Stegostoma tigrinum: one gene and its partners. The protein of the gene in region 2 binds, or shares a complex with, the protein of the main gene of each other region. Links are inferred from orthologs where the notes say so. Each region holds a gene or a part of one and is shown on either strand. Other genes may lie near its edges.

Region 1 (7,489 bases), on a different chromosome or scaffold from region 2:
TTCAGTTGTAATGATAACATGTATATGATGCCTTGAAACATCCAAGATGCATAATGAAACTGAATGAACCATGTCACATAACGGAAATATAAACAGATGGATTAAAAATTTGGTCAAAGTAGTTTTTGAAGCACTATAGGAAAGATATTGTTAAATGTGAAAGGGTTCAGAGAAGATTTACAAGGATGTTGATAGGACGACAAAGATTGAGCTACAGGGAGAGGCTGAAAGGGCTGGGGTTTTTCCCCCCTGGAAGGTCAGAGGCTGAGGGGTGACCTTATAAGGGTTTTTGAAATCATGAGGGCACAGAGGGTGAAAATCTCTCTTTTCAAAAGAAAAATCAAAGAATCTCAACAGTGTGGAAGCAGGTCATCAGCCCATCAAACTCACACCAACCCTTTGAAGAGTGTATCATTCAGAATCAACCCCCTACCCTATCCTTATAGCCATGCATTTTCCATGGCTAATCCACCCAACCTACACATCGTTGGACTGTGGGAGGAAACCTACACAGACATGGAGAATGTGCAAACTCCACACAGTCAGGGGGTGGAATCAAATCCATGTCCCTGGCACCATGAGGCAGCAGTGCTAACCAGTGAGCCACTGTGACACCTGTAGCCAAGGTCATTTTGCTTTGGTAGGACAGTACAAAAGAGGGCATGGGTTTAACAATTCTACAACTATCTTAAAAGATGAAAAGCAAGATAGAAACATGAAGATACGTAGGGACGATATTCGAAAGCTTGGGGCCTCAGCAATTAAGGGTACTGCCATCAACTGCAAATGGGAAATGCTCAAGAGGTTAAGAATAAAGAGTGAAGATCTTTCAGATCTCAGGGCTGGAATTAAGTAGACACAGGACAGGGCAAGGTCTCAGCATAGTTTGAAAGCAAGAAAAGGGAGAATTTTAGAAGATGCATTAATTGTGAGTCAACTGAGTTAGTGCAGTTTGATGGCAAGGACATTTGGTGGGTATTATGATAAGCAGTGCATCTCAAGTTCACACAGGTAAAACTGAGGAGGGTGAATAGAAATTTACAAACGCTAGAACAGTCAGATCTGGAAGTCTCAGAAATAACTGAAGGTGAACTAGAGATAGGCAACATTAGAGATAGAGATAACAAGGTGTGGAGCTGCATGAACACAGCAGGTGAAGCAGCATCTTAGGATCAGGGAAGTGACATTGGGCAACATTAGATCATGTGACTGAAAGCTAACCCCAGAGTCAAATATGACAAAGGTTGTTTATACTCTGGCTGAGGGTTAGTGCTGAAAGAGAGAAAGTGATGGATTTTGCAGCCAGGGAGCAGAGTTTGAGGTGGAGATAAGATTATGGCTTCAGATTTTCAAATTCTTAGGAATTTTCTGTTCATCCAATGCTGGATGTCAAATACCATACAGCAGTCTGAATTCAGGGAGAACAGGCAGAAGGGTCAAGAGAGGTAATAGTTCCAAACGTTGTCAATGGATAGTTTATGAAATCCACCTTAAACATTCTGCTCAATTGAAAATGTTCTCAATTTTCAAGTTTTTTCAATTCCTCACATCAAAAAGCATTCTAGGCAGTCTGGGCTGTATACTCCAATATCCTTCCAGAACATGGAAACTAAAATTGTACAATACGTGCAACTGTTATCTCAGGTTCAGAATCAGAAATCTCTGCAGCACAGCCTGGCTACACATCAGTCTTGAGGTTGTTTATGTAAACCAAAAGTTTACAGCTGGAATTCACATATGCACACAGGAGTTGCTGATTAAGTTGTGTTTCATGCCCAATTAATAGCATTCAGCAGAAGCACTACCCTAATATCATTCATTAGCATGACAGGAGTTGGAAATGAAGCCTAACAATTATAACACGACAAACTGCCATGGCATTACCAATGAGCCTGAGATCACATCAGTGTCAGAGATGTTTTTGGCTAATTGTCGATAGCATGCTTCAAGTTATTGGACAAACAAAACACAGCATAATGTACATCAGCTAAAGGGACTAGATGTGTCACCAACATGGTGCAGGTCAGTGAGTGCGAGTATTTTAGAGTACCACCAACCACCTATCCTTGTTGATGCCATTGTCTCTGGTCCTTCAACTTTAAACTTATTATGCCTATTTTAAACTTTAACCACCTCTACCAAATTCTCCACATTACAGTAATGTGCTGTCGCCCCACAAAGCTCCAAGATATTTAAAAAGTGAATTTATGAGAATCCCCAAATTTAATTTCTTCCATTTTGTGGCTATACCAAGGTCCTAAGCATTCTGTCTTCCAAACTCTCCTTACCTCCACTGTCCTTTAATATTTTTCTTAAAGCCTTCTGTACCAAGCTTTCAGAACTCATCATCAACTGGTGTTCCATAGTAGTCTAATGTAGGGTCTCAAGTTGTATGCTAAGGGAACCACTCCAATCTATACAGCAAACCTCTTCGACCACATCAGCTAGAAGGACACCTAGATCTCACATTCTTGGTTCCTGCCACAAAGCTTCCACCTTTCCTCAAATCAAAAGAAAACCATTTTATAAAATTTGTTTTATTCAAAATAAAAAATCATTTGACAAACCTTTAATCACTACTGTGTTCCAAATACAGACAAGACCATTTTAGTTTTGAAAACTACATTTTTAAGACGTGGTTTAAATTTTGAAAAGGCAGTCTATTAAAACCAAGTTATTAGATAGGCGTGAATTCCTGGATTTGGTCAGCAGGGAGAAGAGGGTGAAGAAAGAGTTCTACTGTGTTGCTGGATTGGTGGCAAGGCATTCATGCCTTGGATTACAATGGCTTCTCTAAATATCTTGAGAAGACAGGCCATAAGCACTTTGCAAGAATATTTCATATTAAATTGAAAGCCAGTAAAAACAAAAACAGTCAGGGCGTAGGAGGAGCAGTTTAAATTATTCTTGCAATTAAAATGTTTGTAGACATCAAGACAATAAGACATCAAGTATTCACTTCTTCCTCAAATAACAGTTTACAGGTGTTTGGGAACAGGCCATGTGCACTACCATTGCCCAGGTTATGGAAATGGGTCCATAGAGTTTAGCAAGGTTCTTTTGTCCTAACATTGCCTCTATAGGCAAAGTGTCTTTATGTGCCTCCTGCATTTTGAAAAATTAAAATTGCCAGATCTACCAAGTTGGTAATGAAACTGGCAGAGTCCTTGCAGAAACAGGAGATTAGGAAATCTGAATGCCAAGCTAGCAAACTAAGCAGAATCTTTTGCGAGCAAGAGTCCAAAGTAGCTTGGTTCCAAATTAGAACAGAACTTCGGGTCCCGTCATGTAGCTACGAAAGTTGAAAGTGCAACCAGAACAGGCGGAAAAGTCGAGTGGGGAATTTTGGTTCGAAGTGCAAGTACTTACTAGTTAGTTAACAGAACTTTCGCTTTTTTTTGTCAAGTTCGAATTTTCTGCCACCTAAAAGATCTAATGCATGGTCTTCTCTATGCTAAACCATTTCAAAAGTTGACTTTTTTAAAAAAAAAATCCAGTTCATCAGAAATTGTAACAATTGATAATCTCTCCCGTTGTTTTCCCCGAACCCGACGTACTTCAACAATGTGACAGAAGATTTGTGCAGACACCCTGATATTGAATCTGAAAGTTGTAAGAGCGTGCACCAATAGGATTTTTTTAAAAAGTGACTTTTTTTCCCTGTACCACCCCACCTAGTGAGGGAACATTCACCAGTCCCTGATCGGATTTCCCCAAATCCAAAAGCAGAAGTGGGGTTGGCCCATATGCAGGGTATTGGGCGATCGCCAAGCGTGCGTGGACTTTTCCCAACGACGCCGATGCCTCCTCCGCGGGGGGGGGGGGGGGAGGGAAAGAGACAGACAGTCAGGACGAAGAGGATGGGCCCCAGCCACACCGTCAGCCATTTTACAGCGAACGGTCGAAGTCGACTCCTTCCCACATCCGAGGACAGGGACTATGACCCGGGCTCAATATCCAGGGACAGCTGATGCACGGAAGGGCAAAGAGATCAGGCCACCAAAGGCCGCATTCCGGGTCACAAACTGGAAATCGAAAGCCCAGTCCCTGGTTCCAAAAACACTGTCCAGACTTTGTCCAAGGTCCGGCAATAAACTGAAAAACCACGGACAGTTCATCCCCCTCCTTTCCCCAAACAGCCCCCGCCCCCGGTAAACGTACCTTCTCGTGGATGACGAGCGCCTCGTTGTTCTCCTCTTTTTTAGGCTCCTTCTGGCTCAGCGAAGAGTTAAAGGACACTTTCACCATGGTGGCAGTACGAGATGGCAGCGCAAACCCAACAAAAACACAACTCTCGGCTCGGCGCACTCCGGACTAAAACCCACCCCGCTTCACTTCCAGCTGGACCTCGGAATCATCCGCATGACGCAGCTCACAAACATAAATATCCGACCGCGTTCAGCAAGAAGATCCCAGGGAACGCTGCCCCGCCCCCATGTGTCGTGTGTGTGTGGGGGAGGAGGGACCTATGAGCCCCGCCCCAGGGAGGAGGGACCACCCAGTGGGCGGCACGCCCCGTCCCGCCCTTAGGGTAAAGGACTCCTGCCCCGTATGCCCAGTGGGCGTTCGAAGGGAACGTTGCCCTCAGGTAGGTGAAGGTAAAGGTAATCAGTGATAATGGGATCTGCAGATGCTGGAGAATCCGAGATAACAAAGTGTGGAGCTGGATGAACACAGCAGGCCAAGCAGCATCCCCGGAGCACAAAAGCTGACGTTTCGGGCCTAGACCCTTCATCAGAAAAGGGGGATGGGGAGAGGATTCTGAAATAAATAGGGAGCGAGGGGGAGGCGGACCGAAGATGGATAGAGGAGAAGATGGGGAGGCGATAGGTCAGTCCCGGGAGGACGGACAGGTCAAGGAAGCGGAATGAGTCGTTTATCTGCAAGTCGCTCGAATTGGGTTTTCGTGGTGCAGTGGTAACTTTAGACTAGGAGACCTAGGTATTTCCAGTCTGGCAGTTAGATGCACCATTCTTCTGCCATTCTGATATTCCTATCACTTAATCTAAACTATCAACAGCCTTTCTCCCCCAGCACTCGAACCCCTCCCCAACTGTTGCAGAAGTGCTGCTCCCCCCCCACACCTGACTTCAGTTCTGATAAGCTCATCTAGACTCTTAAACGTTAGCTTGCTTTCTCTCCATGGACGCTACCTGACTTGTTGTAGTCTCCAGCATTCCCACAAGCCCCAAAGATATCCAATAACATCTCTGAACAGAGATAGTAGGAACTGCAGATGCTGGAGAATCTGAGATAACAAGGTGTAGAGCTGGATGAACACAGCAGGCCAAGCAGCATTGGAGGAGCAGGAAGGCTGGTGTTTCTGGCTTAGACCATTCTTCATAAATCTCGAGACTCAAAACGCAGCCGTCCTGCTCCTCTGATACATCTCTGAATGTGTTGATTAGAGAATAAAATAAGACACTAGAAATACAGCAGGCTATTGAATGAAATGTAGAAAGCTAAGGAGCAATTCGAAAATAAGGAAGGGAGCTATGATGTGGACATCAGAGTTTTTGGGTAAGCACAATGTTATTAGATTAGATTCCCTGCAGTGTGGAAACAGGGCCTTCGACCCAACAAGTCCACACCACCCCTTGGAGCATTTCACCCAGACCCATCCTCATCCCCCTATAACCCACACACCCCTGAATACTATGGGCAATTTAGCATGGCCGATCCACCTAGCCTGCACATTTTAGACTGTGAGAGGAAACCAGAGCACCCGGAGGAAACCCACGGAGAGAATATGCAAACTCTGCACAGACAGTTACCTGAGCCTGGAATCGAACCCAGGTCACTGGTGCTGTGAGGCTGTAGTGCTAACCATTGAGCCACCGTACGTAGAGAGGAAGCTGGGAGATCAGTCAGAGAATGCAACGATCAGATACCGTTGGGCTGCAGGATTCCCAAGCAGAATATGAGTTACAACGACGCCACCCGAAGGTTGCAGGAACAGCAACTCATATTCCGCTTGGGAACCCTGCAGCTCAATTGTATCAATGTGGACTTCACAAGCTTCAAAATCCCTCTTCCCCCACCACATCCCAAAACCAGCCTAGCTCATCCCAGCCTCCCTAACCTGTTCCTTCCTCCCACGTATCCTCTCTTCCCACCTCAAGCCCCACCCCCATCACTTACCGATTAACCTCAACCCGCCACCTTTTTCTGATGAAGGGTCTAGGCCAGAAACGTCAGCCTTCCTGCTCCTCTGATGCTGCTTGGCCTGCTGTGTTCATCCAGCTCTGCACCTTGTTATCTCGGATTCCCCAGCATCTGCAGTACCTATTACCCTTGACCTGTCTGTCCCTCCTGGACTGACCTATCTCCTCCCTACCTCCCCACCTACACTCACCTTTACTGGCTCCATCCCTGCCTCTTTGACCTGTCTGTCTCCTCTCCAACTATTTTCTCCTCTATCTATCTTCTATCTGCACCCCCCCCCCACCGTCTCCCTATTTATTTCAGAACATCCTTTCCTTCCCCCATTTCTGAAAAAGGATCTAGGCCTGAAACATCAGCCTTCCTGCTCCTCTGATGCTGCTTGGCCTGCTGTGTTCATCCAGCTCTACACCTAGTGCTGTGAGGCAGCAGTACTAACCACTGAGTCACCGTTCTTTGGACCTCACTGACAACTTGTATTGCAATGCTCCTGACAGGCCATTAGAGACAGACCCATCTCTTGCATGGGAGCAAGCTGCATCTCGAGGCTTTTTGCTCGTTCCCCTTAGCATTTTGGGACTGTCTGGATCCTCACAGCACGTCTGTCCTGCGTTGCCTTCCTGCATATTGCCGTATCATTCAGAAAGGGTAACCCTTTAATATTTCTGTCTTGCCTGTCTTTCATCAGGGACACAAAGCTAGGCAGCTTGTCATGGTTCAACAGTTACCTTTGACTTGAATGAGGACTACTGTCTTTAAACTTTGAAACATGGCATTCAGTTAAGGCACACTTAGTGCTTTAATCACACAAGCTGCCTACAGGCTGTAAGTATGACATTGATATAGCATGATGCAAGACAGTTTTATGTCCACCCCCTTGACTGATCACTTCTGACAACCATGACAAGCTGCCTAGCTTTGTGTCCCTGATGAAAGACAGGCAAGACAGAAATATTAAAGGGTTACCCTTTCTGAATGATATGGCAATATGCAGGAAGGCAACGCAGGACAGACGTGCTGTGAGGATCCAGACAGTCCCAAAATGCTAAGGGGAACGAGCAAAAAGCCTCGAGATGCAGCTTGCTCCCATGCAAGAGATGGGTCTGTCTCCAATGGCCTGTCAGGAGCATTGCAATACAAGTTGTCAGTGAGGTCCAAAGAACGGTGACTCAGTGGTTAGCACTGCTGCCTCACAGCACCAGGGACCCGGGTTTGATTCCACCCTTGGGCAACTGTCTGTGTGGAGTTTGCGTATTCTCCCTTTGTCTGAATGGGTTTCCCAGGGTGTTCTGGTTTCCTCCCACAGTTCAATGACGTGCAGGCTAGG
Region 2 (7,058 bases):
CTAACAATCCTTCCTTGACATTAAATGGCATTACCATCGCTGTATCCCCCGCTGTCAACATTCAAGGGAGTCATAACTGATCAAAAACTGAACAGTAATAGTTACATAAATAACATGGCTATAACAGCAGGTCAGAGGCTGCAACTTCTGAGAGAAGTAACTCACCCTGTCTCCCCAATATCTGTCCATCATCTACACACACACGTCAGGAATATGACAGAACACTCCCTACTTGTCTGCACAGGTGCAGTTCCAACTATACTCAAGAAGCATGACACCATCCAGGACTAAACAGCCCAAGTGATTGGCAATTTAACCAACACCATGAAACACTGTGGCTGCACTGTTCACTGTTTACAACTCACACAGGGTCCTTAGAAAATACCTTCCAAACTCTTGATCTCCACTTCCTAGAAGAGCAAGGGTAACAGATACATGGAAATTCAAACGCCTGCAAGTTCCTCTTTAAGCCATTAACATCCTGACAACAAACCATGTCGCCATTCCGACAAGATCACTCAATTAAAATCCACTGACGTCACATGGGCTGCAGTGGTTCAAGAAGGCGGCATACCACCACCTTCTCAAGGGCAATTAGAGATGGGAAATAAACGCTGTTCATCCTGTACACCAGCATCTCTTCAAATAAAATATTTTAAAATATGCATACATGTAATTAAAGAAAACTTTTTGTCAAAGCTGATGAAATTCAAAATATTTATTGAGATGTTCACTTTCGATAGCTTCAAATTTAATCACAGTATCCCCACTGTGCGGACAGAGTCCATTCAACCCATCGAATCTGCACTGACCCTTGGTACTGCATCTTTTCAAGACCCAGCCATCCACCTGATCCCCATAACCCTGCTTTTACCATGGCTAGTCCACCTAGCCTGCACATCTGTAGACACTATGGAACACTTGAACATAGCCAATCCACCTAAACTGCACATCTTTGGACTGTGGGAGGAAACCAAATCAACCAGCAGAAACCCAAGCAGACACAGGGTGAACATGCAAGCCCCATGCAGACAGGCACTTAAGGCTGGAATCAAACCCTGGTCCCTGGTGTTGTGAGACAGTAGGGGTAACCACTGAGCCACCGTGCCACCTCTCTCTCTTCCCACCAAATGCAACAATTACTCACCACAATCCCTGTAGATGGACTGAGATCCAGCTCAATAACAAAGCGGTATCGCTGAGCAAGGAAGGTAATAGTGGTTGAGGGTACCAGTTGGTACGTTTGATCAGCAACTGGTTCATCTGGTTGCCAGCCTTTTGGTAGGACACTGAGAACATCCAATTCATTGTTGGAGTTGCTCTGTAAGAGAGAAAGGATAATTGTGAGATGCATCACAATGGCATATGTTACAACTATTATAAAGCAAAAAGGAATAAAAGGACTTCAATTACTGAATAAATGAAAGATGCTGAGATTGTTCCCCTTAGAGATTAATAAGAAATTTGATAGAAATGTCTGAAAAAGCTTACAGATAGGTTCACTCCAACACTGCCAGGATCTATGTCCACTGGCAGAAGGACAAAAATAAAACACCACCAATTTGGGTTGATTAGCAAAATCAATGTGAGGAAAAAACTTCTACGCAGGGAGTGGTTACAATTTCAAATGCACTTCCTCAGAATATGGAGGAGGCAGGTTCAAAAGGGAACTGGATCAACAGCTGAAGGGGGAAAAAAATTACAGATTTTCTCAGAATCACTAGGGCTTCCCATCATTGCATGATCAATCCACAATCTTGGGTAATATCAGGAGATTTTGCATGTTGGCTCAGTGGCTACCAGCACTCTATTATGTCAAACTGAGCCATGCAGACCAAGAAGGTCCCAATTTCAATTCACAAATATTATATTTTTTTCACTTCAGTTGGACGCTGTGTCCTTTGTTTGAGTCGGTGGTGGGGGAGGGCGGAAAAAATTAATGAGTTCACATTCTCAGTCATTTCAGAAAACAACAGGGCAATTACATTAGTGTAATTATCTATTCTAACATGTCCTGAAAATACTTGTGTTACAAATAGATATTTTAAACTAAGAACATGACCATCTAATTTTCTCCCAATGTACTGAGATTGCAATTTACTTTTCATGCAAAGATTAATACACCATATTAGGTTCCCACTACTTCATCCATGTTCTCACAAAGAGGTCACAGAACAATTCAAGGCACCGTTTCACTCACAAGCTCTGACGTGGACATCGGTCGAATGCTTTGATTCAGTCTGTTGAGAAACCAAGCTAATCTTACATTGCGGGAAATCCGATATTCCTTCTTCATAAGCAAGAAAACCTGTCCTGCTTCTTCCACCTGTCAAAACAAAAGTATGTGACTTGGAACTAGAACTTTAGGTCACCAGAAGCTCTACTAGTATACAAGATCACACATTAATAAGACTATAAATACTTGGATGATTTTGCATCAATGAGATTTGAGTGATTTTCTTTCTGCTCCTTAGTTTGCTTTCTTTCTTTGGTCCTTCGATTAACTTCTCATAAAATTAAGCAACTAAGGCACTCAATGGAAGTCCATTTTACACTTCATCAGCAAGAAAAAGGTTATTAAATCAAATATAGCATTTCTAATTGGAAGTAGATACCTTCCTATGTCTCTCTTTACTTCTTGCAAACATAGAAAATAGGTGGAGTAAGCATTCTTTCCTTCAAGCTTGCACCACCATTCAATATGATCATAGATGATCATGAAAAGTTCATGTTAAACCCAAAAGAGAATTTACTACTTCTATTTTTTTTCCCCTGATATTCAGAACCAGACATTTTTCAGTAGCCAAACACAACCATTTTGTGAAACATCACAATCTCCCAGCAGGCAAAGAAATATTTAAAAGCATCAGAGTTGTTATCCTGCAAGTCTGATGTGACATAAAGCCAACTATATTAGTTACAGGAAACATCTTGTCACAGGACATGATCTGATCGTTGCACTGGAGCTCCAACTAAACACACCCTTTGATATCACCAAAAGAAATTTCCAAACATACAACGCATACTCACCAGGTATATTTCCTCAAAATTCCACAGGTTCCAATGGCTATATTTTTGTCAGTCATTTTTTTATACTATTGCTCCAAAAATTAGCTCCTACATTTGCTGTGGTTTGATATTGCTTTTTTATCATCTACATACCAGCTTTAGTTAATTTTATCCAAATATACTAGTTTTCTGATATGATATGAGTGCTTATCTGCACAATTAGCAAAATTTGAGGACCTTATAAACAAGACTTAAAGCGCATAGACCCAGACAACATGTGTCAAGATTCCATGGTGTGAGGCAAGCAGATGTCTTCTGCTTGCCCAGGAAGCATTTCATATTTTGACTGTTAACAACAAGTAGCACAGGCAGCGTATAAAAGCCCCTACAAGACACTGTGGTTTGTTGATTCACAGGATGTCGGCATCACTGGCCACCCCAGCATGTGTCTGTCGTCCATCACTGAGGATGCAAATTCTAGCCACGCTGGAGACAGTGGGAAATAATTTATCTCAGGAGTCCTCTCCAAAGTTGGGTCAGCTGATGAAACTCGGAGTTCACTGATGACACAGCAACCTCCTCCAGAACAAACACGGGAGCTGTCATTGCTGTTCTGACAGTCCCAAACGCGTATTTATTCATGTGCAGCTCACTGGGTTTTTAACTCTCCGACACGAGAAGAAAAAAAACAATCAGACGGAGAGCCGTAAATCCTATGCTAGCAAAGTTTAAGGAGCTGCGTGCAGAAGGCAGGGTCGCACGGACCTTACTGTACATGTCCCGTGCCCTCCACGGGGCCGCCCCTCACTGTTTGCTGACACCGCACCCCAACCTGGGCCCTTCCCTTTACCTCGGAGTCTCTCTCTCCCCCAGACATGCTCGATGGCCGCTCTCATGCCCACCGGCCGGCCGGCCTTCCGCCCCGCCGCCTATCGATTAGAATCGCAGCACTCTGCCGCTCCCGGTTCATCTCCCGGCACACCGCCCCCCTCCCCCAATCAACCTACATACACGTCACCTCTGACCCCTGGCCCCGTCGCCCGGAACCGGAAACCGGGAGGTAGCGGCTGGGGTTGCCATGCAGGTAAGGGGTCGTCAGCGGGACTGGATCGTCCCCTTGAGCTCGACCCTCACAGTAACTCATTTGTCGGAGGAAATCACTTCCACTCGTGTTCCCCCCCCGCCCGAATCCATCCCGTTTTCCCCTCGCAGTGTAGAGACTTTCAGTCCTCAGCTCGTCATGGCATTTGTGGGCTGGAGACTCGAAGAGAGCAGGACAGGCTAAGCAGGCACATCAGCTCTGGACTTGATCAGTGTGTGTGTTAACTACGAGAACATCGAGATTTACGATGAGGCTGTGCGTCACGTTAGTTAGGCCGCAGCTGAACTGTGCGCATTTTTGGTCGCTGTGCGGTAGGAAAGATGTGATTGTGCTGCAGAGCGCGTAGAGGAAGTTTCACCAGGATCAAAAACGGCTGTTGCTGGGAAAACTCAGCAGGTATGGCAGCATCTGTGGCGAGGAAGCGGAGTTAAAGTTCGAGTCCAGTGACCCTTCTTCAGAACTGATTCACCGGGACGTTGCCTCGGCTGGAGTGATTTAGCTCTGAAGAGAGGAAAGACAGGCTGGGGTTGTTTCAGAGCAGAGAACAGTGATCCACCTTATTCAGGTGTATAAATGTTTGAAGGGTAGATAGAGAGGAACTTTTCCCCTTAGCAGAGGAGTCAATAACCAGGGGTGCAGTTCTACAGAAAGCAGCAGGAAATTTATAGACTAATTGAGGAATTTTTTTTCACTGAGGGTGGTTGGTATCTGAAGCTCTCTGCCCTGAAGGGTGGTAGAAGTGGAAAACCTCAATTAATTTAAGAAGTATTTAGATGAGTACTTGAAATGTCGTAGCATACAAGGCTTCATGCCACATGTTGAAAACTGGGATTACAGTAGATAGATGCTTTGTGACCAGCATTAGCATGACGAGTTGTAGTGCCTCTTTCCATCATAGAATCCTACAGTGTGGAAGCGGTCCATTGTGTTATCCCAACCAAACTGCTGTCCCATAACCCTGCATTTCCCGTGGCTAACCCATCTATAGCCTCCATATCCCTGGACACTATGGGCAATTTAACATTGCCAGTCTACCTAACATGCACATCTTTAGACAGTGGGAGGAAACCAAAACACCCAGAGGAAACCCATGCAGACTCAACACTGACAGCTGCCAGAAGGTGGAATTGAGCCCAAGTCCCTGGCAGTAGGAGACAACATTGCTAACCGCAGCCGTTGTGCCACTGCATGTAGTAAAAATGCCAAGACTTTGTGGGATTTTGCTGTGTGCAAATTTCGCTGCTGCATTTCTGACATTAAGTGACTGCACATCATTTCCAGCATCTGCAATGTCTTTTGATTTCAATATAAAATATCATAAAGGCACTTTAGGAGATGTGGTGTGCATAGAAAGGGCTTTATGATAGAGATCAATTGGAAATGTGGGTGGAGAAATGGTGTTTAATCCAGACAAATGTGGGGTAATGCATTTTGGGAAATCAAATACAAGAAAAAGCATACAATTAATGGTAACACCCTGAGGAGCATGGATACACAGAGGGATCTTGGAGTCCAAGTCCATGGCTCCCTGAAAGTAGCAACACAAGTGAATAAGATGGTAAAGAAGGCATACAGAATGCCTCCCTTCATTGGTTGGGACATTAAGTATAAAATATGGCAAGTCACGTTGCAGCTGTATAAGACTTAAGACTTTCTTTAGGCCACATTTAAACTATTATGTGCAGTTCTGGTCTCGACACTGTGAGAAGGATGTGGAAACTTTGGTGAGGTTGTAAAAGAGGCTTACCATAAAGAAGGGAACAGACCCAAAACGTCACCTTTCCTGCTCCTCTGATGCTGCCTGCCCTGCTGTGTTCATCCAGCTCTACACCTTGTTACCTTTACCATGATATCATCTGGATTGGAGAGTATTAGCTATGAGGAGAGATTGGACAAACTTGGATGGTTTTCACTTGAGCTTTGGAGGCTGAGGTGCAACCTAATAAAAGTATATAAAAATAGGAGAAGCATGGATAGGGTGGATAGTCAGGGTCTTTTGCATGCATGGAAATGTCAAATACTACGGGGAGCAAATGTTTAAGTTGAGAGGGGGAAAGATTTGTACAGGGTGGTAGGTGCTTGGAACATGCTGCCGAGGAGGTGGTAGTAGCAGATATGTTTACAAACTTTAAGAAGTGTTTAAGCAGATACGTGAACAGGCAGGATGTAGAGGGTTACAGATGATGTGGCAGCATCAAAGCTGGTAAAGACATTTTGCTCCAAAGGGCCTTGTTTCTATGCTGTACTGTACTATGAATGCAAGTCTAGTTCTTCAAAGGAAGAAGTACTTGCATCTATGCTGCACTTTTCACTATCTCAGTCTTAATGCAGCTCTGCAGGATGTTACAGTGGAAGCAAAATATTACAGATGCAAAAAATCAGATCCTAGAGAAATGAAGTGTAGGCCCTATTGTTCTGTAGGAAATGCAGCAACCAATTAGTGCAGAGTCAAAAATAGAAATTGCTGGAAAAGCTCAGCAGGACTGGCAGCATCTGTGGAGAGTAAGCAGTTAACTTTTTGGGCTAAGTGACCCTTTCTCAGTTCTCAGGGTCACTCCAAAAGTTAACTCTGATTTCCCTCCACAGATGCTGCCAGACCTGCTGAGCTTTTCCGGCAATTTCAATTTTGTCTCTGACTTACAGCATCCATAGTTCTTTTGGTTTTTAATTAGTGCAGATTGCTTGACAATGTGATAGTGACCGGATAGTGTTTGCTGAGATTAGTTGGAGGATAATTGTTGGCCAAGACACTGGGGATGGTGCTTGTTTTTCTCATGGTGTCATTTTTATTTGTGTTCATCCAGTAGCTCCGAACTTTAACATATTATCTGAAAGACCTCATCTCTGATAGTACTGTGCTGGGTGTTATCCTAGATTTGTGTTTTAACATCTGGAGTGGGACCAAGTGAAACACCTTTTGACTCACTCAAGAGTACTACAAACTGCT
Region 3 (7,549 bases), on a different chromosome or scaffold from region 2:
GCTGCAGACATTGTGGGACAATTTCCATCCAATGGTAAACTGAAGACACAGAAAAAAAAGTTTTGAATTTCTAAACAGCAATTGGCCAACAATACTAGGACTGATACAAAACAACAAGAATCAGCAATGGTTCCTTTTTAAACCCATTAATCATGTCACTGACTACCCTATACCCCTTCTACAGTTATTGCCTTGCCATCCTACAGTGAAAAGTCTGATAGGAAAAGCTGAAATAAACAATGGCCTTGCCAATGACAGATATACTAAAGCATGAGAACATCACAATTTTGAAAAATATGAGCCTTATTATTAAGGCTCCCATTCATTACACATACTGGATTGTACTTAACAGGATGTTGTTGGGCTTTATTGAGCCAGTGCAACTTATGTGGTGAAGACGCATCTACAATGGCTTTAGGTAAAGAACTCCAGGAGTTTGACAACAATAAAAATATGGTCAATATCAATGTTCATGTATACTTGCTGCCCTGATTCTTTGTGAAGGCTGCAGATCTGGGAGATACTGCTGAGGACACACCTTAGAGAGTTTTTTTTCCACAGTGCAGTATAGACAGTACCGTAGACAGTTTCCAGTCAACCTGTTCAAAAATATTATTACACATGGCTGGGGCAGAGACAACTTGAGCAGGGATGTCCTGCCCCAGAGATAGGGATACTGCTGGCAGAGAGGATGAAGGTTTAAAGTATTGGCTAGGCTCCCAAATACATGCATTGTTTTTATCCATGAAAATTTTTGAAGTTCATGAATAGAGCTAGAGTCCACCTATCAAGGCAAGTGGTAAGTTTTTCATATAATTTTTGACTAGGGCACTGTGGTTAGGAGAATGGCTTTGAGCAACATGGGTTGCTGCAGAGTGCACAGTCTCTAATATACCTTCAGAGATAATGGGAACTACAGATGCTGGAGAATTCCAAGATAATAAAATGTGAGGCTGGATGAACACAGCAGGCCAAGCAGCATCTCAGGAGCACAAAAGCTGACGTTTCGGGCCTAGACCCTTCATCAGAGAGGGGGATGGGGAGAGGGAACTGGAATAAATAGGGAGAGAGGGGGAGGCGGACCGAAGATGGAGAGTAAAGAAGATAGGTGGAGAGAGTATAGGTGGGGAGGTAGGGAGGGGATAGGTCAGTCCAGGGAAGACGGACAGGTCAAGGAGGTGGGATGAGGTTAGTAGGTAGATGGGGGTGCGGCTTGGGGTGGGAGGAAGGGATGGGTGAGAGGAAGAACCGGTTAGGGAGGCAGAGACAGGTTGGACTGGTTTGGGATGCAGTGGGTGGGGGGGAAGAGCTGGGCTGGTTGTGTGGTGCAGTGGGGGGAGGGGACGAACTAGGCTGGTTTAGGGATGCAGTAGGGGAAGGGGAGATTTTGAAACTGGTGAAGTCCACATTGATACCATATGGCTGCAGGGTTCCCAGGCGGAATATGAGTTGCTGTTCCTGCAACCTTCGGGTGGCATCATTGTGGCAGTGCAGGAGGCCCATGATGGACATGTCATCTAAAGAATGGGAGGGGGAGTGGAAATGGTTTGCAACTGGGAGGTGCAGTTGTTTGTTGCGAACTGAGCGGAGGTGTTCTGCAAAGCGGTCCCCAAGCCTCCGCTTGGTTTCCCCAATGTAGAGGAAGCCGCACCGGGTACAGTGGATGCAGTATACCACATTGGCAGATGTGCAGGTGAACCTCTGCTTAATGTGGAATGTCATCTTGGGGCCTGGGATAGGGGTGACGGAGGAGGTGTGGGGGCAAGTGTAGCATTTCCTGCGGTTGCAGGGGAAGATGCCGGGTATGGTGGGGTTGGAGGGCAGTGTGGAGCGAACAAGGGAGTCATGGAGAGAGTGGTCTCTCCGGAAAGCAGACAGGGGAGGGGATGGAAAAATGTCTTGGGTGGTGGGGTCGGATTGTAAATGGCGAAAGTGTCGGAGGATGATGCGTTGTATCCGGAGGTTGGTAGGGTGGTGTGTGAGAACGAGGGGGATCCTCTTAGGGCGGTTGTGGCGGGGGCGGGGTGTGAGGGATGTGTTGCGGGAAATACGGGAGACGCAGTCAAGGGCGTTCTCGATCAATGTGGGGGGAAAGTTGCGGTCCTTAAAGAACTTGGACATCTGGGATGTGCGGGAGTGGAATGTCTTATCGTGGGAGCAGATGCGGCGGAGGCGGAGGAATTGGGAATAGGGGATGGAATTTTTGCAGGAGGGTGGGTGGGAGGAGGTGTATTCTAGGTAGCTGTGGGAGTCGGTGGGCTTGAAATGGACATCAGTTACAAGCTGGTTGCCTGAGATGGAGACTGAGAGGTCCAGGAAGGTGAGGGATGTGCTGGAGATGGCCCAGGTGAACTGAAGGTTGGGGTGTAAGGTGTTGGCGAAGTGGATGAACTGTTCGAGCTCCTCTGGGGAGCAAGATATACCTTGCTTGTCTGAACTGGTCTGGAATTGTGTGATTTCACTGCTGTTTATGTGGAGGGATTGCCTATTTGTTTTTAGATTGGTTTTTTACAATGCCAAATGCAAGGATTAGCAGATAGGGACTTCAAACCATGTAGAGTATTTGCATTCTGGTGGTCCCACATAACACCAAGTTTCTAGAACGTTGCAAACAGGGAGATGGGGCAAACTGCTGAAGGAAGTTGAATTAACATGAGGTAACATTAGGCAAGTTGCTATCAGAACAGTCTCTTGTCCGTTTTCAGGTTTCCTCTTCTCCTTCTCTATACCCAAGGTGTCATTGTCAGCAATTGCTAGTTCCAGCAGGAAAAGTTATTTTCTTCTTCCTTTCCATATCACATCCTGTAGTAATCTAAAATAATGAAGAAAACCATAATATTTAATACATAAAGTTAACATTTTTAATACTCAGGGAGTGGTAAATCTTTGGAATGCTGTGATTGGGTTGTGAAAGCTCAATCATTGGGCATATTCAAGACAGAAATAAATTAAATTCTTTAGATTAGTGGCATTAAACAATTTTGGAAATAACATAGAAAAATGACATTGATGCAGTTGATCAGTAATGATGTAGTTGAATTACACAGCAGCCTCAATGGGCTGAATGGCCCACTCCTGCACCTCTGTTCGGATATGTCCTTAGAGAATCCACATGCAGGGCTGCAGCTGCTACTCAGGGCCTTCTTCCCTTCAAAAAAATGGCAGCTTCTCCTGCCTAAGCATAAAGTGAAGTGAACCTGCCAGTGTCTGAGCTATCCCTGCAATATGAGACAGCAGTAAAGCACTGTCACCCATGGTCATGCCCAATTCAACTGGCTGCATCCTTCCCACAAGAGATTCCCAACTCCTACCAGTGCCAAGAGCAGGCTCAATGATAATGAGATTAAATCCCACTCTTTTTGCCCAAGTTGACCGCACCCTAAATTTCTATGGATCCTTACAGCTTCTGCTACAATTCATATCAAATGGGATTCATTGATCGCTTCAAGTTTCTATTAATTTGCATTCTGTCACCCTGACAGCCCTGCATTTTGCTTCATTTCGGTACCTTTTGGTACTTCTGGGATGAGCAGTGAGATGTGAAACTTCACTATCTCCTTATTTTATTTTCTTTTAGTTTAGTTTTGCTTTTACATTTTGCTAATTTGTCACCGATGTCTTGTAATTTAGTAAAGCAATAATGTCTCTGAGAGACATTAGTGTAACACATGGATTTTCATCATATTCCAGTAATGTCATTACAGCTATTGTTGTTGCTAAATTTTTAATCCAGACTTTTTAAAGTAACTATATTTTAATCCCCCAGCTACAAGCGACCCTGTCTCATTGTGAACTATCTACGTAATATCACACACATACAGGGTACTGAAATAGCTCCAACGAGGCCGGTATCCCATCACCAAGTCACCCTTTATTTACACATGGAGAGTCAGTAACACTGCTCCAGCTTCCTTAGAGCCAACTCTCAGAGTGAACAGAATCTCTGACCCGAGATAGTGGGAGCTGCAGATGCTGGAGAATCCGAGATAACAAAGTGTGAAGCTGGATGAACACAGCAGGTCAAGCAGCATCTTGACCCACCTGTTTATATCTGTCAGCCAGAGCTCACTGATTGGGGCAGATTAACAGTTCCAATCAGAGAAATCATATTCTGGTTGACCACATTATGATAACTACAGATACAGTTACACTCCCCTTGAAAATTTTAAGTGGAAATTCTATCCATGAAGTTGCCTTTATCGCTTTCATTAGACAACATGGTTCCTTTGTCTCCATCACTTCTGGGATGGCATAAATGAAATTATCCTTCAGTTGTTTCACAAATCTGTGTCCTCTGTCTATCTTCCTGGAAAGATTTAAAAAAGGAGTCTTACGAGGAGCAGGAGGAAGCCTGCACAATAAGAAAGATCCATAATTTCAACAAAAGGGGGAACTTCTGAACAATTTTATTCAATTTGGGGAAACATTGCAGTTTGGGTGCAGTTTCCCCCAGTTTGCCTCCAGGGGGCGATATACCAGCTTCAGTGACGTCTTGATCCCTTGCGTCGGATGTGACGCCGTTAACCTGCGCGGCCGGGCCGAGCGAAGGGGAGGAAGGGGAAGATGGCGGCGTTGCAGGGGTTCCCCGTTTCGGTCTCTTACAGCCACAGTGGCTGCGTCGACACATCGGCCGGGCCGCAGCCCCAGCACCAGCCGCCACACGCCGAGCGGAGCAAGGAAGAGGCGACAGGTAAATAAAGGCCGGTAACCTCGAGGCGGGGGTCTCGGTCTGCTGGGGGCCAAGGAGCTCCAAGGGCAGGAGACCCCAGGTGATCAGAGGCCTGAGGCTGGGCATCGGCCCTCGGTGGGGGGGGGGGGTCTTGGGTGGGCATCGGCCCTGGAGGGGCCAAGGTATGGGAACCTGAGGGTAAGGATTCGACCCAGATGTTAGGGGCCTAAGCATGGGTATTGGAGCCAAAAGGTCAGGGCTTGAGTGTAGGCATCCATTCCGACGGGCAGGAGCCTGAAAGTGAACATCTGGTCTGAGAGTTAGAGGCCTGAGGCTGGATAATGGACCAGAGGGGTAAGAACATTGGGTGGGCTTTGGTTCTGGAGGCTGTACGTAAATGATTTGGAGGAAAATGTATCTGATCTACTTAGTAAGTTTGCAGACCATACAAAGATTGTTGGAGTTGAGGACTGGAAGGAGGATTGCTTGAGGTTACAGCAGGATGGAGATCAGTTAGGCGAATGGGCTGAAAAGTGGCGGATGGAGTTTAACCCAGACACACGTGAGGTGAGGCCTTTTGGACGGTCAAGTACAGGTGGAAATTATACAGTGAATGGCAGGACCCTTAGGAGTGTTGACATGCAGAGGGATCTGGTTGTGAACGTCCACAGATCACGGAAGGTGGCAGTGCAGGTAGATAAGGTAGTAAAAATGGCTTATGGTATGTTTGACTTCGTTGGAAGGGGCATTGAGTATAAGGATAGACCAGTCATGCTGGAGCTTTATTGAACTTCACTTGGAATATTGCATACAGTTCTGGTCACCACACTACCAGAAGGATGTAGATGTTTTGGAGAGGGTACAGAAAAGGTTTACTGGGATTTACTGGCTGACGTGGCGACCTGATAGAAGTTTGTAATATTGTGAATGGCATGGATCAATGGAAGTATAAGGCTTTATCCCAGGGTGGAGGGGTCATTTACTGGGCCACACAGGTTCAAGGTGTGAAGGGGGAAGTTTAGAAGAGATGTGTGAGGAACATTTTTCACACAAAGGATGGTGAGTGCCCGGAATGCGTTGCCAGAGGAGTTGGTGGAAGCTGATACAATAGCAGCATTCAGGAAGAACCTGGACGAATATTTGAATAGGAAGGGAAAATAGAGATACAGATTCTGGAAGTGAAAACAGTTCTAGTACGGAAGGGGAAAATGTCAGTGCAGGCTTGGAGGGCTGAAGGGGCCTGTTCCTGAACTATATTTTTGTTTCTTGGGGCCTAAGGGTGGGCATTGGACCCCAGGGGTAGGGACCTCAAAGCATAACGGAGGTATTCGTGACCTGCCCCTTTACTGAATTCAAAAGCAATTATTAAATGACATGAATTACCCCCCGCACCTTTGGCTCCACATTGAAAATCCCTCACCTGCACAAGCTTTCAGGCACTGGTGGAAGATTTGGTTACCCTCTTCATCTATTGCTTTATGTGACAACAGGCCCAAGCCCTTCTTAAATAGCTGAATTTATTAACCTGAATGGGTGATCTGTGAGCTCGTGCATCCTAGGTCCTGTTGGATAAAATCAAAAAGTGGAGTGATAAGTAGGATTGATTGAGTTTATCCACCAATAAAAAGGTGACATGATACTCTGTCTATCTGGACACAATCTTTCCCATCAAAATTGTGTTTGTTGAAATTTCAACAGTTCAAGTAAACCTCGTATCAAAGTTAGATGTGATTATCCTTACAATGACTGCAGTCATCAAAACATTGCCATTTAATCTTTGACTAAAATTTTTCAGGCCACTTCTGTCATCACCAATGTCATGAGGCTCTTTAAAAGTCATTGAGGGCAAATACACTTTATTTGTCAATGAATACCACTACTTATTTCAGGCTTGTGTGAGTGATGTTCCTTATAATTGTACTGCTTGCTAGATAAATCAGGTCAGTTTATTTCGTCCATAACACTTATGGATGTACCCTTAGTAAATGGCAGAACCAGATGAGGCTGCAGATAAGTGTATAGGAAATGGAAACTGAAACTCCACCATGTGTGCCATGGAGATTCAGAAACGGTCACTTTCATATTGATTTGTTTATGACATAAAATCATAGATTTGCAGCATAGGGAGATTCTCAACCCATCGTATCTCTGACTGAAAAAGAGCTAATCAGCATAATTCCCCCATTTCTAGCCCATGGTCCATAATCTCCACATGACAGCGCTTCAGTTGCATGTCCAAATACTTTATAAATATAATGAGGTTTTATTCATGTACAATCTTTACAGGCAGGGAGTTGCAGAACCCCAGTACTCTTGTGAAAAGATTTCTCCTTAACCCTGTTCTAATCCTTCCACAAATTATTTTAATTAGTTTATGATCTCTTTTGCTAAGGGAAATTGGTGCTTTCGAGATTGGAAGTTTGTTTCTATTGGATTTTGTAAGAGGTTGAGTTGTAAGCGATATATAGCGATGGTTTATACTTAAACGTAGGTAGCATGATAGTGAAGAAATTGGCAGTAGACTGCATGAAAATATGTGTGGATTGGCCATCTTGTCAGAGAAGTGTTGAGTAGGAATCATTCCAGAGAAGCCTGGGGTAATGCATTTGGGGAGGGTCAAATTTACTGATAGGTTCCTGAGAAGTAACAGAGTAACATTGGAGTGCATGTCCATGGATCTCTGAAGATAGTCGTAAGATAGGTAAAAATATAAAGGCTGAGAGGTTATGACGAATTTGTACAAAATAAAAGCAAATTACTGTGGATGCTGGAGATCTGAAGTGAAAAGAGCAAGAACTGTAGAATCTATGCAGGTCTGGCAGCGTCTGTGGAGGAAGAAAAAAAGTTAACATTTGAAGTACAGTATGACTTTCGTTTGGA
Region 4 (7,161 bases), on a different chromosome or scaffold from region 2:
CTTGGGGATCAGAGGCAAAGCCGCTAGTGGTCCGGGGTGAGGCTATGGCTTGTGGTTTTTATAATTCGATGCTGCAAGTCCAGGTATCACTCGGGGAAAGCTATGCTGCACTCCTTCACAATTTCAAACCCAGACCCGGTACACTTTACCCAGAGCAGGTGAAAAACAGGTGGACACCTGAATCAGCCGATTGGTCAGTGGGAAAACGCCAAACATAATATTGATCAAAGTAGTGAGGACTTTGACAAAGTGAAGAGATTTTAGTCCATTCCAACAGTGAAATTTGATTTGTCTTTTTGAAAGCATTTCACAAAAGAAATAAAAGACTTGACTGGTTCTCTATTGAAGTATTTATTTTATAGGAGTATACATGCAATAGTTTCACAGGGGTCGATGGCTCATGTCTGTGTGCGGTAACTGACAGACCTAAGGAACGACAACAATTCTGCTAGGGCTTGAATTGAAGATAACAAAGTGTGAGGCTTCTTCCTGTCCCGCAGGTCCGACCAGTCCCCCTCCACCGACACCCACATTCGCCTAGCCGAACTTGTCCTCACCCTCAACAACTTCTCTTTCGATTCCTCCCACTTCCTACAGACTAAGGGGGTGGCCATGAGCACCCGCATGGGCCCCAGCTATGCCTGCCTCTTTGTAGGTTACGTGGAATAGTCCCTCTTCCGCACCTACACAGGCCCCAAACCCCACCTCTTCCTCCGTTACATTGATGACTGTATCGGCGCCGCCTCTTGCTCCCCAGAGGAGCTCGAACAGTTCATCCACTTCACCAACACCTTCCACCCCTACCTTCAGTTCACCTGGGCCATTTCCAGCACATCCGTCACCTTCCTGGACCTCTCAGTCTCCATCTCAGGCAACCAGCTTGTAAATGATGTCCATTTCAAGCCCACCGGCTCCCACAACTACCTAGAATACACCTCCTCCCACCCACCCTCCTGCAAAAATTCCATCTCCTATTCCCAATTCCTCCGCCGCATCTGCTCCCACGATGAGGCATTCCACTCCCGCACATCCCAGATGTCCAAGTTCTTCAAGGACCGCAACTTTTCCCCCACAGTGGTTGAGAATGCCCTTGACCGCGTCTCCTGCATTTCCCGCAACACATCCCTCACACCCCGCCCCTGCCACAACCGCCCAAAGAGGATCCCCCTCGTTCTCACACACCACCCCACCAACCTCCGGATACAACGCATCATCCTCCGACACTTTCGCCATCTACAATCCGACCCCACCACCCAAGACATTTTTCCGTCCCTACACTTGTCTGCCTTCTGGAGAGACCACTCTCTCCGTGACTCCCTTGTTCGCTCCACACTGCCCTCCAACCCCAGCACACCCGGCACCTTCCCCTGCAACCGCAGGAAATGCTACACTTGCCCCCACACCTCCTCCCTCACACCTATCCCAGGCCCCAAGATGACTTTCCATACTAAGCAGAGGTTCACCTGCACATCTGCCAATGTGGTATACTGCATCCATTGTACCCGGTGTGGCTACCTCTACATTGGGTAAACCAAGCGGAGGCTTGGGGACCGCTTTGCAGAACACCTCCGCTCGGTTCGCAATAAACAACTGCACCTCCCAGTCGCAAACCATTTCCACTCCCCCTCCCATTCTATAGATGACATGTCCATCATGGGCCTCCTGCAGTGCCACAATGATGCCACCCGAAGGTTGCAGGAACAGCAACTCATATTCCGCTTGGGAACCCTGCAGCCCAACGGTATCAATGTGGACTTCACCAGCTTCAAAATCTCCCCTTCCCCCACCGCATCCCAAAACCAGCCCAGTTCGTCCCCTCCCCCCACTGCACCACACAACCAACCCAGCTCTTCCCCTCCACCCACTGCATCCCAAAACCAGTCCAACCTGTCTCTGCCTCCCTAACATGTTCTTCCTCTCACCCATCCCTTCCTCCACCCCAAGCCGCACCTCCATCTCCTACCTACCAACCTCATCCCACCTCCTTGACCTGTCCGTCTTCCCTGGACTGACCTATCCCATCCCTACCTCCCCACCTATACTCTCCTCTCCACCTATCTTCTTTTCTCTCCATCTTCGGTCCGCCTCCCCGTCTCCCTATTTATTCCAGAACCCTCACCCCATCCCCCTCGCTGATGAAGGGTCCAGGCCCGAAACGTCAGCTTTTGTGCTCCTGAGATGCTGCTGGGCCTGCTGTGTTCATCCAGCCTCACATTTCATTATCTCAGATTCTCCAGCATCTGCAGTTCCCATTATCACTAGGACTTGAATTGAACCTGGGTACAGTATTTTCTGGGCTAACAAGGTGTGGAGCTGGATGAACACAGCAGTCCAAGCAGCATCAGAGGATCAGGAAAGCTGACATTTCAGGCCTATACCCTTCTTCAGAATTTTCTGGGCTGGTGTTGTAAATATTACCTGTAGGTGGATCATAAGGGCGCAGTGTTTGAACTAAGAGATAGCTTATGGATAAACTGTCCAATTTCACCATGTTAACATTTTCAAAAGAGGATTAAGCATCTCATACAGGCAATTCACTTAAATATGCATTCCCAAAAAATAGGCATTACTTAGGAAAACTGCAGGCAGTCATTGGATCAAAATATTCCAGCTGTTTAACGACTGTCCAGAGACTGAGCTCGGCAACCATATAAAGACTGGTACCAGTCTGTAAAATTGGGTCCTTTTAGGAAGGAGAGATCGGATATGTCAAGTTGCTGCTCAGGACCTTGGCCTCCATCAGAATATTCAGGTGTTTTTACAGTCTCCGGCTCAGCTTTGAATGCAACACTTTGAGATCAGAAAGATGTTTTCAGTCTCCAGCTGCTGGGAATGATTCTCTCTCTAAAGACATTGTGGGTCAAACCACATCAGGTGGATTGCAGCAGTTCAAGAAGGTAGCTCATCCACACCTTCTCAAGGAGTGCCTAGGGATGGGTAATAAATGCTGGTCCAGCCAACAACACCTACATCTGACAGTGAATAGAAAAGAAAGATTCAGCTTGTCTCATGTTCAACTCCCCCAGGGTCACTTTTTGTCACAGCAATGATGAGGGAACATTTCTGGGAATGGCCAGCAGCTCAGCGACACTGCGGGATGTCAGGGTTCAAACATGGACTTCTTGTTTATTCAGGATCTGGGGCAGGGAGAGGGGTGGGGGAGGGGAGGAGGTAAGGAAGGGGAGGGTTTAGGGGTGGGGAAAGGTGGGGAAGGAGGTTGGGAGGGGGTTAGGGATGGGGAGGAGGGGAGAGTGGAGGTGGAGGTTGGGAGGGGGGTAGGGGTTGGGAGGGGGGTAGGGATGGGGAGGAGGGGAGGGGTGGGGAAGGAGGTTGGGAGGGGTGTAGGGATGGGGGAGGGGGTGGAGGTTGGGAGGGGGGTAGGGGTGGAGGAGGGGGAGGAGGTTGGGAGGGGGGTAGGGGTGAGGGTGGAGGTTGAGAGGGGGGTAGGGGTGGGGGAGGGGGTGGAGGTTGGGAGGGGGTAGGGGTGGGGGTGGAGGTTGGGAGGGGGTAGGGGTGGGGGTGGACGTTGGGAGGGGGTGGAGGTTGGGAGGGGGTAGGGGTGGGGGTGGACGTTGGGAGGGGGTGGAGGTTGGGAGGGGGTAGGGGTGGACGTTGGGAGGGGGTGGAGGTTGGGAGGGGGTAGGGGTGGGGGTGGAGGTTGGGAGGGGGTAGGGGTGGGGGTGGAGGTTGGGAGGGGGGAGGGGGTAGGGGTGGGGGTGGAGGTTGGGAGGGAGGTGGGGTGGGAGGGGGTAGGGGTGGGGGTGGAGGTTGGGAGGGGGGTAGGGGTGGGTTGGGAGGGGGTAGGGGTGGGGTGGGTGGGGGTGGAGGTTGGGAGGGGGGTGGGGTGGGAGGGGGTAGGGGTGGAGGTTGGGAGGGGGGTAGGGGTGGGGTGGGAGGGGGTGGAGGTTGGGAGGGGGGTAGGGGTGGAGGAGGGTAGGGGTGGAGGTTGGGAGGGGAGGGGGGTAGGGGTGGGAAGTGAGAGGAGTGAGTGGAGGATGAGAGGGGAAGGAGGTAGGGGGAGGTGGGGGCTTGGTATTGGAGGGGTGGGGGAGGGGGGTGGAGGTAGGGAGCGGGGTAGGGACGGGGAGGAGGGGAGTGGGGAAGGAGGGAGGGGATGGGGGGGGTGGGGCCGCGGGGGAGGGCGAGGAAGCGATCTTGGGGAACACAAATGATGGGGCACCCTATACATTTCCGGTTCCGGTTTCCGCCCGGACGGTATTGGCGTCTGCACGCGGGTCACTTCCGGTGAGGTTCCTGGGACCGAGAGACAAATACCCCCCCCCCGCTCTCGGGGGGGGGGGGGGTAATGCCGGCACGATCCTGTCACACATTCCCCCCCACCCCCCCTCTCCAATGTTTCCTTCCTCCTCCAGCATCCCGGTCTCCCGTCTCTGGAACACTGCCCCCGATGTCCTGGGGAGATGTGACTGTGTTCAGGGGAGGGGGCTCTGTCACTCATATTAAATTGGGACAGTTTCCATGCTCCCGTGGGGCTGCGCTCTCATTCTGAGAAGTGACTGATGTTGGTTTAACCTGGGGGTTCCCCTGGGTGAGGGTTGAGGTCCCCCCTGGGTGAGGGTTGAGGCCCCCCCTTGGTGAGGGTTGAGGTCCCCCCCCCCAGTGAGGGTTGAGGTCCCCCGGGTGAGGGTTGAGGCCCCCCCGGTGAGGGTTGAGGCCCCCCCTTGGTGAGGGTTGAGGCCCCCCTGGTGAGGGTTGAGGCCCCCCCTTGGTGAGGGTTGAGGCCCCCCCTTGGTGAGGGTTGAGGTCCCCCGGGTGAGGGTTGAGGCCCCCCCGGTGAGGGTTGAGGCCCCCCCCGGTGAGGGTTGAAGTCCCCCTGGTGAGGGTTGAGGCCCCCCCTTGGTGAGGGTTGAGGTCCCCCCCCTCCCCCCCGGTGAAGGTTGAGGTCCCCCCGGTGAGGGTTGAGGCCCCCCCGGTGAGGGTTGAAGTCCCCCCGGTGAGGGTTGAAGTCCCCCCGGTGAGGGTTGACGTCCCCCCGGTGAGGGTTGACGTCCCCCTGGTGAGGGTTGAGGTTCAGATTCATGGTAACCTCAGCTGGTGTGGGAAGTGGACATGAGAGATGTTGGATCAGCCACAATCCTATTGAATGGCAGGGCAAGCTCAAGGGGCTGAATGGCCTCATCCTGCTTGTATTTCCTGTGGCATTATGTTGGCATAACGTTGTATATAAATCAGCTATCCAGAAAACCAGCCCCTATGTTACTGAAACCCTGGTTTTCAAGATGTCCACTTTTCAAACATTCCAGTCTCTTCACAGCATCTTTCCCCCTCCCCACAGGTAGGTTTCCTGGAGACTTGTCAAAATGGAGGCCCCTCCTGTTACGGTGTTACCTGTCATTGGTGGAACCATTAATATGATGGAATATATTCTTCAAGGTATGAAATGTGGCCCTGTTAATTTTACTGTAAAATGATTTCAGCAGATAAGTAACTGGGGTTTCAGAACTAAAACAGTTCTTCAGTGATTGGTACGTGAGTCAGAATGAGTAGACATTCTGCCAGGTTGCTCCTTGTGGGTAATATTCTATTATACCTTGTGTCCTTAACTGTAAAGTAAAGTCTCTATTCTGTGAGGACCATATGGCTGCCCTCATTAGAGAGAGAGAGAGAGACGACTGATCGTGGTTTAACCTGACATTGCTGGAGAACCACAGATTATTCTGACATAATGGGAACTGCAGATGCTGGAGAATCCAAGATAACAAAGTGTGGAGCTGGATGAACACAGCAGGCCAAGCAGCATCTCAGGAGCACAATATAAGATATTCACTTCTCTCAGCAGTATAATGGTTGCATTCTGCTCATTGTGAATAAATGTTAAACAGGTTAGACAGTTCCAATAAGTGTGCTCCATATTTGGTTATTATCCTGTCAATTTTATTCCCACCATTTAACTTGAAAGCTGTAGATGTGTTGGAGTCTTCCACCTAGCCACTGGCATTGAGGAAATTTGCACTTTTCCTCCTCTTGACCCAGGTTATTTGAGGCCATTTATAGTGCCCTGAATGCCAGCGAAGCTCCATACAAACCTGGGACCTTGCTGGGTAGAAATGTTGTTACTTGTCCTGCTGAATTATTACTCATGTTCTAATCTTTGATATTTGTAAAAATTATGACAAAGCCTTATTTTTCTCTAAAAAAACCCCCAGAATAACGGGATTCGAATGTTGTTGAAAAGAGAGATGTATTACTGAAGTTTTTGCATTGTGTTGATCAGGACAATTGCAAGAAATCCTAATTTTTAAAAAAATTCATTTGTGGGATGTGGGCCTTGTTGGTTGCCAGCATTTCTTACGCATCCCTAGTTGCCCTTGAGAAGGTGATGGTGAGCTGCCTTCTTGAACCGCTGCAGTCCGCCTGCTGTGGGTTGACCCACAATGCAATTAGGGAGGGAATTCCAGGATTTTGACCCAGTGACAGTGAAGGAACGTCAATATATTTCCAAATCAGGATGGTAGTGACTTGGAGGTGGTGGTGTTCCCATATATCTGCTGCCCTTGTCCTTCTAGATGGAAGAGGTCGTGGGTTTGGAAGGTGCTGTTTGAGGATCTTCGGTGAATTTCTGCAGTGCATCTTGTAGATAACACACACTGCTGTTACGGAGTGTCAGTGGTGGAGGGAGTGGAGTGGATGCGATGTGATGATCAAGCGGGCTGCTTTGTCCTGGATGGTGTCAAGCTTCTTGAGTGTTGTTGGGACTGTACTCATTCAGGAAAGTGGGGAGTATTCCATCACACTCCTGACTTATGCCTTGTAGATGGTAGACAGGCTTTGGGGATTCAGGAGGTGAGTTACTTGCTGCAGTATTCCCAGCTTCTGGCCTGCTCTTGTAGCCAGTCTGAGTCCAGTTGAGTGTCTGGTAAATGGTAACCCCCAGGATGTTGATAGTGGGGGATTCAGTGATGATAACACCATTGAATGCCAAGGGGCAGTGGTTAGATTGTGATCTTTTGAAATTAGGAATTTGAGAGAAAACAATTTATTTTCCTTTTATCCTGTAGTGTAAATTATTGTGACATTAAAAGGAAATGACGTTAAAGCTTTGGCAACATATAGTTGTACAGCGTAGAACCAGACCCTCTGGCCCAACTTGTCCATGCTGACCAGATTTCCAAAGCTAAACTAGTCTCATTTACCTGCTTT

What was found. The genes of interacting proteins can lie anywhere in the genome.
Region 1: med8 (region 2) and med4 share a complex: the UniProt entries of both Homo sapiens proteins name them as parts of the mediator complex. The link is inferred for Stegostoma tigrinum from reciprocal best matches to the Homo sapiens genes MED8 and MED4.
Region 3: med8 (region 2) and med1 share a complex: the UniProt entries of both Homo sapiens proteins name them as parts of the mediator complex. The link is inferred for Stegostoma tigrinum from reciprocal best matches to the Homo sapiens genes MED8 and MED1.
Region 4: med8 (region 2) and med18 share a complex: the UniProt entries of both Homo sapiens proteins name them as parts of the mediator complex. The link is inferred for Stegostoma tigrinum from reciprocal best matches to the Homo sapiens genes MED8 and MED18.

The regions. Positions count from the first base shown.
Region 1 is NC_081365.1:72,826,759-72,834,247, forward strand, and holds the start of med4 (mediator of RNA polymerase II transcription subunit 4), read left to right. Parts: upstream 1-4,482; 5' UTR 4,483-4,588; intron 4,589-7,489. Other genes in the region: integral membrane protein 2B-like, read right to left, coding at 4,162-4,248. UniProt on the Homo sapiens protein: Component of the Mediator complex, a coactivator involved in the regulated transcription of nearly all RNA polymerase II-dependent genes.
Region 2 is NC_081361.1:79,769,867-79,776,924, forward strand, and holds the start of med8 (mediator of RNA polymerase II transcription subunit 8), read left to right. Parts: upstream 1-4,054; 5' UTR 4,055-4,087; coding exon 4,088-4,093; intron 4,094-4,102; exon of another isoform or gene 4,103-4,507; intron 4,508-7,058. Other genes in the region: KICSTOR complex protein SZT2, read right to left, coding at 1,148-1,321, 2,201-2,326, 3,860-3,886. UniProt on the Homo sapiens protein: Component of the Mediator complex, a coactivator involved in the regulated transcription of nearly all RNA polymerase II-dependent genes.
Region 3 is NC_081384.1:9,381,442-9,388,990, reverse strand, and holds the start of med1 (mediator of RNA polymerase II transcription subunit 1), read left to right. Parts: upstream 1-4,542; 5' UTR 4,543-4,563; coding exon 4,564-4,690; intron 4,691-7,549. UniProt on the Homo sapiens protein: Component of the Mediator complex, a coactivator involved in the regulated transcription of nearly all RNA polymerase II-dependent genes.
Region 4 is NC_081377.1:42,903,668-42,910,828, reverse strand, and holds the start of med18 (mediator of RNA polymerase II transcription subunit 18), read left to right. Parts: upstream 1-4,154; 5' UTR 4,155-4,245; intron 4,246-4,284; exon of another isoform or gene 4,285-4,764; intron 4,765-4,806; exon of another isoform or gene 4,807-5,296; 5' UTR 5,297-5,321; coding exon 5,322-5,394; intron 5,395-7,161. UniProt on the Homo sapiens protein: Component of the Mediator complex, a coactivator involved in the regulated transcription of nearly all RNA polymerase II-dependent genes.